3 linked regions of the Arabidopsis thaliana genome follow. The protein of the gene in region 3 interacts with the protein of the main gene of each other region in a pairwise test. Each region holds a gene or a part of one and is shown on either strand. Other genes may lie near its edges.

What was found.
Region 1: the proteins of EID1 (region 3) and SK14 interact in binary tests that used the Arabidopsis thaliana proteins (3 or more experiments, as listed by UniProt).
Region 2: the proteins of EID1 (region 3) and SK4 interact in binary tests that used the Arabidopsis thaliana proteins (3 or more experiments, as listed by UniProt).

Annotation. Positions count from the first base shown.
Region 1 is NC_003071.7:959,368-963,242, reverse strand, and holds SK14 (SKP1-like 14), read right to left. Parts: upstream 1,936-3,875; 5' UTR 1,922-1,935; coding exon 1,472-1,921; downstream 1-1,471. Other genes in the region: AT2G03180 (uncharacterized protein), read right to left, coding at 117-479; SK19 (SKP1-like 19), read right to left, coding at 2,996-3,598. UniProt on the Arabidopsis thaliana protein: Involved in ubiquitination and subsequent proteasomal degradation of target proteins. Together with CUL1, RBX1 and a F-box protein, it forms a SCF E3 ubiquitin ligase complex. The functional specificity of this complex depends on the type of F-box protein.
Region 2 is NC_003070.9:6,984,613-6,989,334, reverse strand, and holds SK4 (SKP1-like 4), read right to left. Parts: upstream 3,024-4,722; 5' UTR 2,906-3,023; coding exon 2,588-2,905; intron 2,430-2,587; coding exon 2,256-2,429; 3' UTR 2,004-2,255; downstream 1-2,003. Other genes in the region: AT1G20150 (Subtilisin-like serine endopeptidase family protein), read left to right, coding at 1-314, 384-484, 563-805, 917-1,031, 1,118-1,328, 1,408-2,003; AT1G20135 (GDSL-like Lipase/Acylhydrolase family protein), read right to left, coding at 3,837-3,964, 4,052-4,301, 4,383-4,619, 4,708-4,722. UniProt on the Arabidopsis thaliana protein: Involved in ubiquitination and subsequent proteasomal degradation of target proteins. Together with CUL1, RBX1 and a F-box protein, it forms a SCF E3 ubiquitin ligase complex. The functional specificity of this complex depends on the type of F-box protein.
Region 3 is NC_003075.7:1,069,830-1,075,078, reverse strand, and holds EID1 (F-box family protein), read right to left. Parts: upstream 2,599-5,249; 5' UTR 2,525-2,598; coding exon 1,514-2,524; 3' UTR 1,300-1,513; downstream 1-1,299. Other genes in the region: AT4G02450 (HSP20-like chaperones superfamily protein), read left to right, coding at 1-52, 138-294, 402-529, 623-758, 980-1,092; SR34b (RNA-binding (RRM/RBD/RNP motifs) family protein), read right to left, coding at 3,713-3,794, 4,193-4,422, 4,496-4,543, 4,662-4,711, 4,841-4,898, 4,987-5,033, 5,112-5,247. UniProt on the Arabidopsis thaliana protein: Component of SCF(ASK-cullin-F-box) E3 ubiquitin ligase complexes, which may mediate the ubiquitination and subsequent proteasomal degradation of target proteins.

The sequences.
Region 1 (3,875 bases), on a different chromosome or scaffold from region 3:
CCAAAAGCTTGAAGAAATTCAGCATTATGAGCCCGTCTTTACGGAACGATGATTACCGAAGTTTTCTCAATCCTTTAAATCCATTTCCTCTGAATTCTGAGCTCATGTATATGACATTACACAACATCTGCGATTGGTGGTTTTTCTAGGATTATAAAGCAATCTTTAGTAATTCTTAAGGTGAGCAACTCTTTAGGCTCGACAAGCTCTTGATCAATTTGCAAACCTTTCAAAGTTTGAAGAATAACGGCATTTTGACTGCATCTCCAAGGAGAAGTAGTTACCGAATCTTCGACAATCTCTCTTATCCGGCAGCTTCTTCCGTGGAACGTTTTCTTAAAAGCTTGTATGCGTTGTTCGCTCGAGCCATCTATAACCACATGGTGGTCGAGGAATTTGTGAAGTCTGTCTTTATGGGCGAACCCAATTTTTGCTTCAACAGATTTTTTAATCTTTGCAAACTCTTTAAAGATGAGCATCTTTTTGAAAAACTCATGGAGCCATTATCTCTCCTCCTTTTGTGTTTTTTTCAGTTTCTATTTGTATGAACATCCCTCTTTTAGGTTTTAAGTAAATTAAAGTTGTTTGACAAAACAAAAAAGAAAGCCCATACGCTCCTATCTCTCTGCCTCTCTCTCTTTTTCTCTCGCTTTATGATGTTTTCTACGTAATAAGTGTTGATATGGGCCTTGGGACGCTTCATATGAGATTGGATAAGTTTTCAACAAAATTTACGACCAAAAAGATTGCATGGCAAAATTCAACTGAATAGTATTAATTTGCATATTAACATCCTCTCGCATGAATTTTCTTTCAGTATATCGTCCGTATATTTTAATATCATAAAATAATAAATCGCTCTAAGAAAATCTTAACCTCTCAATTATCAACCCGAAAAGAAAAAAAAGAATATTAAAACGAAGTATTTTATTCCCATCCTAGATTTGGGAAGGAAAAGGAAAAAAATAAATAATAATAATATAAACTAAATTATTTTGTACGTATAACTATATATAAATATTAAATAGGAGCCTAAAAATAAATAGTAATTTCTTATCGCTATTATATAGTTTAATAAACAAATTAAGAAGGATATTCAAAGATACGGAGAAACCCTAGGCAGGGCCAATCATTTAGTTCCCAACAAAAAAAAGAGAACGGCGGCGATATTATGTTCTATTCTACGCCGGAGAAGATTCCGAATCGCCGGAGGTTTTTAGTGGACGATTCGATTTTCACTCTAAAACGAACAAGATTGCTAAAGCATCTATTTATTGATCACCATAATAGAGAGTAAGGTAAAGAACTAACAACGAAATCAAAGTCATCAATCACACCACTTGAATAAGCCAAAATATAAAATCATTCACGAAATCGAAATATGGAAAACCAAAAAAAAAAGAGAGACGAAAGTCATCAAAACCCTAAAACCGACAATAAGAAACGAAACCAAAAACTAGGGTTTTGGTGTCTATTCAAAAGCCCATGCGTTTTCCTTGCGAACCGCTGCTTCTTCTTCGGGTGTGAAATCGTTCTCGATGTTGAAGATTTCTCGAATTTCCTCTGGAGTCTTATCTTTGATGCGATCTGCAACGGTTTGAGCAGAGAGATCAAGAAGGCCTTTGATATTGAGATAGTTAGCAGCGAGCAAGAGTTGGAAGACCGTAGGCTGATCAAATTTCTTCATGAACTCTTCGTCCCAAGTCTTGAACTCGTCGCTTTCTTCGTCAACGACGTGTTTCTTGCAATACTCGACAACAATGGAGAGGATCTTTCCGGTGACGTTTTGAAGAGGGACCTCGGTAACAACACAGTCGTCTTCAATCATGTGTTCCACGATTTTCAGTTTTCTTGCCACCGCTTCTTCAACCTCGAAAGATTCGCCATCGGAGCTAGACAAAACAATCTTGTTGGAAGACATGTTTGTTCGTTTTTGAGATTTTGGGTGATGAAAAGAATAATATTGGTTATGATTTATGCAAAGATATTGAATGGAATAGAGAGGAGTCGATGAAGGCGTCTATTTATAAAATATTTTAAGAGTCGGTCAATTGTGTTTTCCTTTTCACAATACTGGAAGAGAAGAAAAGCAAATCTTCCAAATCTCTAGTGTTTAGCCTTAAAACTTTTGGGCTTAAAAGTAAAAACCGACGTCTTAGTAAAAGAGTTTATCAGGAGATTCTAGAAACTTATTTAACATACAAAAAGAGTTTTTTTCCTAAACATGGCTATTTTCTATGAAAATTTTGTATGACATTTTATTTATTTAATTAATTTGTCCATCTTACTTAGAATTGAATTTAATTGATTAATTATTAATCTAATTATAGGATAAGAGTCTATAAATTAAGTTTTGTAATCAGTTGCGTTCTTTTAGTTTATTAGGTTTTAATTTTCTACTTTTATTTGAATAACTACTAATTAGAAGAGTAAATCTCAAATTAAATAATCTCTATTGATCTAGCTAGATTCGAGCCTCGATCAAAACAGTACATAAAAAAATAAATTGTTCTAAGAAAAATCATAAATAACCTCGTAAATATATATACATGTTTGTATATAAGAAATTCTTGATAACTAGCATAAGAAAAGAAAAAAAGAAAAACTTTGATTCATACGAACTAATAATTTTAAGAAAAAGAGAAAATAATAGGAAGTTTTTTAACGGCGGCGACTTTTTTTTACTACGTTACAACCGGAGAAAGAATTCGGAATTGCCGGAGGATTTGGGTGGACGATTCTCTTTAATTTTTTCATAATTTTGGTGGACGATTCATTAGTTGAGATTTAATCCGCTTCACTCTAAAAGATAGCTAAAGCTAAAGCATATTTATTGATCATCATTCATCATAATAGTGCAAGAAAATTGGTCAATTAAGTAAAGAAAGACTTAACAACGAAATTAAAGAGACCAATCAATCCCACACACACTTGAGAAAACAGAAACAAATCATACATGTAAAAGGAAAAAAGAAAAAAGAAACGAAGCAAAAAGCTAGGGTTTTGGAACTTGTTGTTTTCCATCTTGCTCAAAAGTCCAAGCGTTTTCATTGCGAATTGCTTCTTCTTCTTCAGGTGTGAAATCATTCTCGATGTTAAAGAGTTCTCGAACTTCCTCTGGCGTCATATCTTTTATGTAATCTGCAATGGTCTTGCTACAGAGATCAAAAAGACCTTGGACGTTGAGATAGTTAGCAGCCAGAATAATGTCGAAGATCGTCTTAATATCGAAATCCTTCATGAACTTTGCATCCCACTCATTAAGCTTCTCCTTCTTATCCTCAGCTTCATCATCTCCTTCAGTTGATTCAGGTACGGCCACATCATCAGGCTTCTTCTTCGCCTCCTCAACTGTTTTATCTCCTTTCGTCGATGATTCATGCGTCTCCACCACGTCATCATCGTCTTCAACGTGTTTCTTGCAGTACTCGATAACCTTGGCGAGAATCTCTCCGGTAACGTTTGGAATAGGGATTTTGTTTGTAGCACAGTCGTCTTCGATAATGTGTCCTACGATCTGCAGTTTTCTTGCCACCACTTCTTCAACCTTGAAAGATTCACCATCGGAGCTTGTCAACACAATCTTTTTCGAAGACATTGTTTTTTGCTTTGTGTGTTGAACGAAAAACAAGAGTCAATTGTTTGTGAAGAGAAATTTTGATGAGAGATTGTTGAATCAGTCTATTTATAGAACCCTAAGATTCAGTCAATTGTGTTTTCCTTTTCACAATTAGATATTGGGTTTCATGTTGTTTCCTTTTCTCACAAAGAAATAAGGAAAATAGACTCAAATCCTATTTTAACTAGGGTTTAGTGGAAGATATATATATTTCTAGAAACTTCTTTAGCAATATACTAATATACTCCTTTTGTTC
Region 2 (4,722 bases), on a different chromosome or scaffold from region 3:
CGTGCTCACTCCTGGGATGTCGTGGCTCGAGCATACTAGCTGCATTTGATGATGCAATCGCAGATGGGGTTGATGTTATATCCATATCAATGGGCTTATGGCCAGACAATTTACTTGAAGATCCGCTTTCCATCGGGTCATTTCATGCCGTGGAAAGAGGGATCACTGTTGTTTGCTCTGTAGGAAATTCTGGCCCATCGAGTCAAAGTGTGTTTAATGCTGCTCCATGGATGATCACTGTTGCTGCCAGCACTATTGACCGTGGCTTTGAGTCCAACATTCTTCTGGGAGGAGATGAAAACAGATTAATCGAGGTAAGAAGGAAAAGCCAATCAACGGACAAATCTCCATTCACATAACATCTTAAAGAATTTCTTTTGCAGGGTTTTGGAATAAATATTGCCAATATCGATAAAACACAGGCTTACCCACTTATACACGCACGATCAGCCAAGAAGATTGATGCTAATGAGGAAGCTGCTAGGTAATAGTTGCCTCGTAAAATTATAGAGTAACTTTGCTATACCTATACTAACAAGACAACACAACTGCAAACCTTCAGGAACTGCGCACCTGATACACTAGACCAAACCATTGTTAAGGGAAAGATTGTTGTGTGTGACAGTGATCTTGATAACCAGGTGATCCAGTGGAAAAGCGACGAGGTTAAGAGACTTGGAGGTATCGGTATGGTACTTGTTGATGACGAGTCAATGGATCTGTCTTTTATTGATCCCTCCTTTCTAGTGACAATAATAAAACCAGAGGACGGCATACAAATCATGTCCTACATAAATTCAACAAGGTTTAAGATGTCTCATTTCACAAGACATTGCTTTCAAACAGAACTAATAATAATATTTTTACCCAAAAAAAAAAAAAAAACAGAACTAATATATCATAATCCATATTGTAGAGAACCAATTGCAACAATCATGCCTACAAGATCACGAACAGGACACATGTTAGCTCCATCCATACCATCCTTCTCATCAAGAGGTCCTTACTTGCTTACCAGAAGCATCCTCAAGGTATAAGCCCTAATATTCATCATAAACATGATCTCAACAGTATTCACAGAAACTTCAAAAACAAAATATTGATAAACCTGTTACAGCCTGATATTGCAGCACCAGGGGTCAACATACTAGCATCGTGGTTAGTCGGTGACAGAAATGCAGCACCAGAAGGCAAGCCACCGCCACTCTTCAACATTGAATCAGGGACTTCAATGTCATGTCCCCATGTCTCCGGGATTGCTGCTCGTCTCAAATCCAGATACCCTTCATGGAGTCCTGCAGCAATCAGATCTGCCATCATGACAACAGGTGAGAAATCAAAATCAAGTAGATACCAGTTACGGATGATTGATCAGCTAGAGTTAACCCAAGTCAACTGTATCTGCAGCCGTGCAAATGACCAACACAGGTTCCCATATAACTACAGAAACAGGAGAAAAGGCCACACCTTATGACTTTGGTGCTGGGCAGGTTACTATATTTGGACCTTCATCACCAGGACTGATTTATGAAACCAATCACATGGACTACCTAAACTTCCTCGGCTACTATGGATTTACATCTGATCAGATCAAAAAGATATCAAACCGCATACCACAAGGTTTTGCTTGTCCTGAACAAAGCAACAGGGGAGACATATCTAACATCAACTACCCATCAATCTCGATTTCTAACTTCAATGGAAAAGAAAGCAGAAGGGTAAGCAGAACAGTGACAAATGTAGCATCACGCCTCATTGGAGATGAAGATACAGTCTACACTGTGAGTATCGATGCACCAGAAGGATTACTAGTCAGAGTTATACCAAGAAGGCTACACTTCAGGAAGATAGGAGATAAACTCAGCTACCAAGTGATCTTTTCATCTACTACAACAATACTCAAGGACGATGCGTTTGGATCTATAACATGGTCTAACGGAATGTACAATGTGAGAAGTCCATTCGTTGTAACCAGCAAAGACGACAACGATAGCGAACGTTAACGATAATCTAAAGAGAACACATTCATGTATAAAGAGCAAAAAGATTAAGCAAGACCAACACTTTCTCTCAAATATTTCTCATAAAAACCAATAGATGTTGTTAGTAGAACAAAGCATTAGGTTTTCATCGACAAGGACAACTCCAATCGAAGAGAAAAAGAAAGAAAAAAAAAACAATCCGAAATCTTGAAAGCTAAACACATCTAAATAGAAAGACTAGAGATTCCTAAACACCCTTCAGATCCGATCCAATCACTCGAACGCCCACTTGTTCTCATTGCGAACCTCCGCCTCTTCCTCAGGTGTGTAATCGTTCTTGATGTTGAAGTGTGCACGCATCTGCTCTGGAGTTTTGCCTCTCATCTGATCAGCCACGGCCTTGCACGTAAGGTCAAGAAGTCCACCGATGTTCAAATAGTTCGCAGCCTGTACAAACCAAAGAACCAAAACGATTAGTCAAATCAAAACGACATTCAACACACTAAAACCCTAACAGAATCCTGCAAAATCAAACCTAAATCCCCAAATTAAAAACCCTAATTCTAACAACATCAAACCTAAACAATGAAAGCGACTTTACTAACCAAGATGAGATCGAAGAGAGTAGGCTGATCGACTTTGACGAATTCGCTGTCCCAATTCTTAAGCTCGTCGTTCTCAGCGGAACCATAGAAATCCTTGTCTCCACCAGCTTCAGCAGCGGCTTCAACGTGCTTCTTGCAATACTCAATAACCTTGGCGAGGATGGCTCCGGTGACATTGGGAAGTGGAATTCCGTTATCGGCACAGTCGTCCTCAATCATGTGCTTAATCGTCTGGGACTTAACAGCGACGGCTTCCTCGATCTCGAAGGATTCACCGTCGGAGCTCTTAAGGATGATCATCTTCTTCGTTTCTGCCATCGTAAAAAGTGACGACTTAGGAAAAGTTTTTGAAGGAGAATCGGCGCTGCGATTGATTGTTGTGATGGTGTCAAGGTTTGGGAAGTTGGAGCCTTATTTATAGCCAATTTCTTAATTGGTATTCAAGTCGGTTTATTGCTTTTAAGTTTTTTTTTTTTTGCCGGCTTATTGCTTTTAAGTTAATCTACTCCTTTTACTAATAGGAGAACAGTAAAAAGTAAAACAAATATTGGAAATTTAAGTTTTTAAAAAATGGAAAATTTATGTTGTTTTAAATAAAGTAAATATTTTTACTTTTCCACAAACTTCACCTTAGCTGTATTCCGTTAATAATATTTACTTTTTCAGATTTACATCTGATTTCAGAAAATACAGTTTATCTACGTGTGCAAAAATCATTGACTAGGGTTTTTATGTTTTAATCAAAGAAAACCTCCACGTTTGTATGTAAAAATCTATGTGAAATTATGAATTATTATTTGGGTATTTTGTAGTGAATATCAAGGAAAATGTAAAAAGTAGGTAACAAACACCACAATTTTTGGGAAAAATATTGCGTTACACTAAACAAACCAAAATTAATAACATATTTATTTGTGTTGTATTTCTCTCATTTGTTGATCTTTGTATTTGTGTTGGATGGAAATCTTTTATCTTCTTCTAGTATTTTTTTCTTCTTTTCCAAACACATAACTTTTCTGGTTTGGTAAACTAAGAAGCACCAAAATTATTGCAAATGAAATTATCACTGATTCTGATTAATTGATGAGAACACATAAATCAAGCTTAACAATAGAGACCTACAAGCGGCTCATCGTCGATCGAGGAACTAATCATATTCAAACCAAGGTTCATGGTTCTCATGTCTAAATATAAAAAAGAAAGAGAAAATTAGTGACTAGGCGAGGTTGCTTTGGATGGTACTGAGGATCTAAGGTAGAACAGTTTTATAGGCTTTTTCAGAAGGATGGGCAAAGTCCCAGAACACGTGACTACCAGATCTTAAACACGGAATCGGAGTCATCACCGAGCAACAACATGGTTTTGCCGTCGTAAACCCTGAAATGTATTACAATGTAGAAATTAGCACCCTTGTTTTTTCTACCATATATATTCAAAATTTGCGTGTGTTACTCAATGTTTTACCGTATTGGCTAGGATTATTGATGACCTCAAGAAGTGAGTTATACATATCGATGTAGACGAATTTGCCATTGGGAAGCCTTTGGTTGTACTGATTGACCAAGTTAGCTACTTTGTCATTATAAACTCTAGCACCATAGTTTACATTCGGAAGACATATCAAATTTCCGGTAATTTGTCTCGCCCCTGGCAAACACCCTAACGGTAACGTTCCAAGAATTGCAAATTTTCTAGCTCCTAGATCATATAGACTCTGTTATTCATACAAAATAATCATTATAGGTAGAACAATATTATGAAGAAAAAAAGTTATAAATAAATGTGTGTTGTATACATTTATGAAGGTAGTTTTCCAACCGATGAGCATATCAGTGTATGCTTGGACAGTGTATCTCGTTTGTCTCTTCGGAGTTGAAAAATATGTGATGGCAAGATCGTTATTACCAGCAGACACTAGAATCACAGCATTGGCTATAATCTCTTTGACTTTAGCTGCATCTCCAACTTGTTGGTTTAACTTTTCTAAGTATCTTTGAAAGTCACTCACCTGATCTTGTACCCATATAACCCCCTATATAGTTTGCACATATAGTAAATGAGTAAGAACATATATTACTTTATCTTATTGAAAGTAAGAAGTACATAACAAGTAGATTTACCTGTATAGATGCAGT
Region 3 (5,249 bases):
AAACCACGTTTATGAGCTCAAACTGGAACTTGCCGATAAAGTCAATGTTGAGGTGAGAATTTGTAGGCTGACTTGGTCTTATTGTTTCATTTGTTACCTGTTTAGTTCTTAAATCTTTTAACCTTTTTCCCTTTTAGGAAAGCAAAATCAACATTGGAGAGAGAAGCATATTCTGCATAATTGAGAAAGCAGAGCCGGAAAGGTGGAATAAGCTACTCCGTGTGAAGAAGCCCCCACACTATGTCAAGGTTGATTGGGACAAGTGGGTTGATGAGGACGATGAAGGCAGTGCTGGTTAGCATTCATCTTAACGCTTATATTATCTGTTCTTGTGTACACTCTCTGCACTTTATATAAAGTTCAGGATGTGTTAACTTATTTGTTTTCTATGTTATGTTTAGGTGCCGCAGATATGGATATGGCAGGAATGGAAGGAATGGGAGGAATGGGAGGCATGGGCGGCATGGGAGGAATGGGTGGAATGGGAGGAATGGGTGGAATGGGAGGAATGGAAGGAATGGATTTCTCGGTTTGTTTCTAACTTTTGATTGTCCTTCATTTTGTGCTTCAGATATACCTAGCTCTGAGAAATGACCTCATACTTGATCCTTGCTTCGTGCAGAAATTAATGGGTGGAATGGGTGGAATGGGTGGAATGGGCGGACTCGAAGGGCTCGGTGGAATGGGAGGCATGGGTGGAATGGGAGGCATGGGTGGTATGGGAGGCATGGAAGAGTTTGAAGACAGTGATGATGAAGGTAATACTTTTGAAGATCTTTCTCGTTTATGTTTGGTCACAGCCTCCTTGAAATGAAAGCATTTCGCCAGAGTTGATTGACTTTGTTATTGAAGTATCTCATATTCCATATGATATGCCAAGTACTCTGTCTTAGGAAACATTTTGCAGATTTTTGTGTTTCTTTGTTCCTCAACAAAATGCAGAATTTTGAAGTAATGAAACATTTTCTGTAAATTGCAGAAGAGACAGCAAAATCAGGAGACAAGAAGGATGATGCCGTTAAGGAGGAAGGTCTTGCGACAGAGAAGGCACCAGCGGCAGAAGAAACAACATCTGTTAAGGAAGACAAGTGAAGACTCTGTTCTAGAGATGATGAAAAACCATATGGTATTATTAGCTTTTCAGGTTTATGAAACCCTCTGAATTACTTCCTCTTTTATATGAATGTTGTTGGTACTCTGTTTTCTTTCTATGGATTTGATCTTGGTTTAAGTTTCTTCTACCTTTTGTTTTGGGTTATATTGTTTCCAAATGTTCTTGGACTTGAAATTTTTGGCTTTGACGTAAGAGTTTATGCATTTGAATCGAAGTCTAATATGTTGTCAACATTGAAACAAAACAACCACAATATGTTGAGCCAATTTTCTTCAACCATTACTTAAACATTAACCAGAATTTGAAACACAATGACACTATTCCTACAAATACATCAAACAAGATTGAGACTTGAGACCGTGGAAGAAGAATGAAAGACCTGTCCTCTCTAGTGAGCTATCAAGTGTAGAGAGGTAAAGCAGTCCAAGCACCAGAGACATGACCATTCTCACAAACATAAGCTCTCACAACTGGTTCACCATCATCATGAAACCCAAACACTCTTCTCAAACAAAACGATGAATGCAAATCCCAAGTCTCATCGCACAAACAAAACGCGCATTTCAAACCCGAGGTCTTACTCCGATTACCGTCGTTTATCGTTCTCCAAACTCTAGACCTTTTGAAATCCTTGAAGACTCCTCTAAACAACATGTAATTTCGTTTCTCTTCTACGTGAATACACCCAGGCCAATTGCAAATGTAGAGACAATCACCTCGGAATCTACTCGCGAGAAGCTTGTTGCCTTGTTCACGGCTAAGGTTCCAGCCACCGGAAGCTAAATGAGATCCTAGAGATCGACAAATCTTCCTTCGTTTCCTTACCGGAAGATCTCGTCCAGGTCTGATCTCACTCGTTTCGATTTCTTCTTCTTGATCGTCGATTGAATCTTCGGGAGGAGGAGCGGGAATAGTATCTGTGTAGAGATCATCATATAGAGACCAAAACGAAGTCGTTTCTAAACCAGATCCAACTGGTTTCGAAACTTCTTCGTCGTTAAGAGCTAGATCCGTCGTAGTAGGTTTCGGATCGAGGTTTTGATCGGGACCTAGCTCACGTTCTAAACCGAAATCGGAGTTTTCGAGGAGAATTCCAGCGTGGAAGAGACCAGGACAACAAACAGCGAGTTTGTATAAAGAAGCCCAACCACCGGGAGGAGTAAGAGACGAATCCGCCGCGGTGGATGAAGAAGCGGATGCGGCGGCGGAGGGAGGAAGAGGGAGGAGATCGGAGATGACGGTGGGGATAGCGGAGTAGCACTGAGTTTTACAACAAACGTTTCGAACAATTGAGGAGAATTTGGTGCAGACGCAAGCGAGACGAGCCCAGTTTCTTGGATCATCTTGGAGCTTGAAGAAGATGTTGAAGACTACGTCTTCTGGTATACAAGAGAAGACAGATTCCGCCATGGATCGCCTTCTTCTCTCTAGGCGGCTCCTTTCTTATCCAAATTCACTTATACTGTTATGGGTCCGGTACGCGTAAACCGGGAATAGTCTTAACTGTTCTTAAGGTGGGTCACAGATTCACTAACACCCACACAAAGGCAAGTAAGTAATGCGCAACAGCTCTCGAAAATGACATCGTACGGACTGAACTAAAATGTAAAGGGTCCGGGTATCAAAATGAGTTCAATGCACATGTCTTTTTAGGTTCATTTATTGTGAACGTTTTCAAAATTTTAATATCGAATTGTGAGCTTTTGAATTAAGTTTGGTATTCGACAGTAATTTTTGATAGTTCGTTTTAAGCACTAACTATATTAGCAAGTCATATAAATCAGCTGAGCTTAGCTCATAAACTGATGATGACTGAGTATATATCATTCCCATGTGCAAACCCAAGCTAATAAGAATGAAATACACAACTAGTTTTTCAACTTCTCATACATAAGAGAGATCATCTTTATGAGAATCTTCCAACAGACCCAGCTTTTTACCTGATATGAGATGTTTCTTTACCTGTAAAACAGTTGGAAAGAGATTCAGAGAAAGAGTGAGAATGTTCCAAGCAAGTTAAAAAGAGTGTGCATTACCGAGATGGACTCCTGCTTCTGCTCTTGCTCCTACCACGGATAGGGCTCAGCTGCTTGCTAGGGCTCTTACTTGCTTCCTTCTGAACCTGCAACACACACAATTCAATCCAGATGATGAGAATGTAATTAGCTAGACATAGATCATGTCTTTTGGATAGTATGGATTGAAAACCGAAAATATTGTGCTGATAGTATAGCGGAGTAAAAAGTGTATTAGAGATAGATGACTTAGAGAGGGTAGAGGAGATCTTGACCTTGAACGAGATCTGCAAAAGTCCGAGAAACAAATCCAGTTTTAAAAATCCAATATTTCCGTGTTTAATAGCTGTTTCACCAAGACCCTTGATGCCTCATTCCATGTCAGACATCAAAACACAATCACAAGAAGCAAAAAAGAAAAAAACATATCTTCAGACTATTTCTAGCAGAAAATCAAACCAACACAAGCCTGCTTTTCGTTAAAACAGATGGTAGAGATGGAGAATATCAAAGCAAATCTAATTCTATCAAACCCTGTGTCCAGAACAGCATCGGTTCCATGAGAATCCAGATCGCTTGTCGATTAGCAGGTAATGAAAATATCTGTCCTAGCTCGATGGGTCCATTTTGATGACACTATATCAATGCGATCCAATGTCTCTCCACTGTTACCCATCTAGCAGCAATGGATATTATCAGAAAACGAACTTGCCCATCTAAGAAAGAGCATATACCTCTGAGACGAAACAGTTGTGTACAACCAACCAAGACATCCATGATCCAGATACTATTTCCCATATTTTAGTTGATTGTATGTATATCCATATCTAAGAAACAAAACCATTCTCAACACTATAATTATAAAAGACCAGACTTTCAAAGGAAATAAATCGTGTACCCTTAACTAGAAGCAATCATCATTCTCAATCAACAACTCGGAGTCATCCCAGTGACATCTTTTAATGTGATGTCACCAAACTTCAAGGGAAGAGCTAAATAGAGCCTATGTTATGTTTTATGTTGGATATTTTAGCATAAACATTATAGAAGAAATGAAGCATACCCTCGTGGAGACAGTGACCTCGACTTAGAGCGGGAGCGAGAGCGAGGAGATCTCGATGTAGATTTTGCAGGCGATCTACGCAAAGATTTAGCCTTTGGACTTCTGCTCTTGCTCCTGCTTCTGCTGCGGCTACGACTACGGCTGGGACTCCGTCCACGGCTGCGGCTCTTAGAATAGGATCTTCCACGGCTGGGGCTCCTCGAATCCCTCCTTGAATCATATTCTCTAACCTGTAATGACATAGGGAAATGTTAAGTGCAATAAAAACGAATGCAGCTCTCAGAATTCTTGTCTTTAACATACCCGAACATATTCATGAGAAAACGCATTCCGAAACTCTGTGTCATCGAGCTTTTTTTATCTGGACAAAATAAAGAATATAATCATGAGTAATCAAGGATGAACACATTCTCAGCCACAGTCCCACACAGAAAATCAAATAATATGAAGAGGAAGAAAAACATCTCACCGCATATTTCATGTCCTCGTAGCTGGTATAATCTACAATTCCAGTTGTACCTGTAAATAAATAGTCCACGATATAGATTTTTTAAAGCATGCACAGACTAGTTAAAACAGGATTTAAAGGCAGAAAACCCAAACAGCTTTAGACACATCTCTATTCTTGGGTAAGACATGAGGATTTACCTCTACCATCACGAAACACTTGAGAAAAACAAACTTCTCCTCCTTTACGCATGTGATCCTTCAAAACAAAGTGATATGTCAACATTCAGAAATCGTAGAAAATATAGGAACGACAATGAGGAATCTGTCCACAACTGTGTAATCACCTTGAGGTCTTGCCAGGACGCAGATGAAGGCAAACCTGACACTACAACTGTATAGTGGAAAATCTTAATTTAGTGATTTCTCCTAAAACTTATGAATACACTAAAGCTAAACATATCATATGTACCGCGGTACTCTGATCTCCTAGATGGTCCACGTTCACGACCACCACCGTCACCACCACCACGACCGCCACGACCACGACCACTATAACTACCGCGTGCATCATGTGATGAACGCCTCCCACCATGAGCTAGTTCCACCT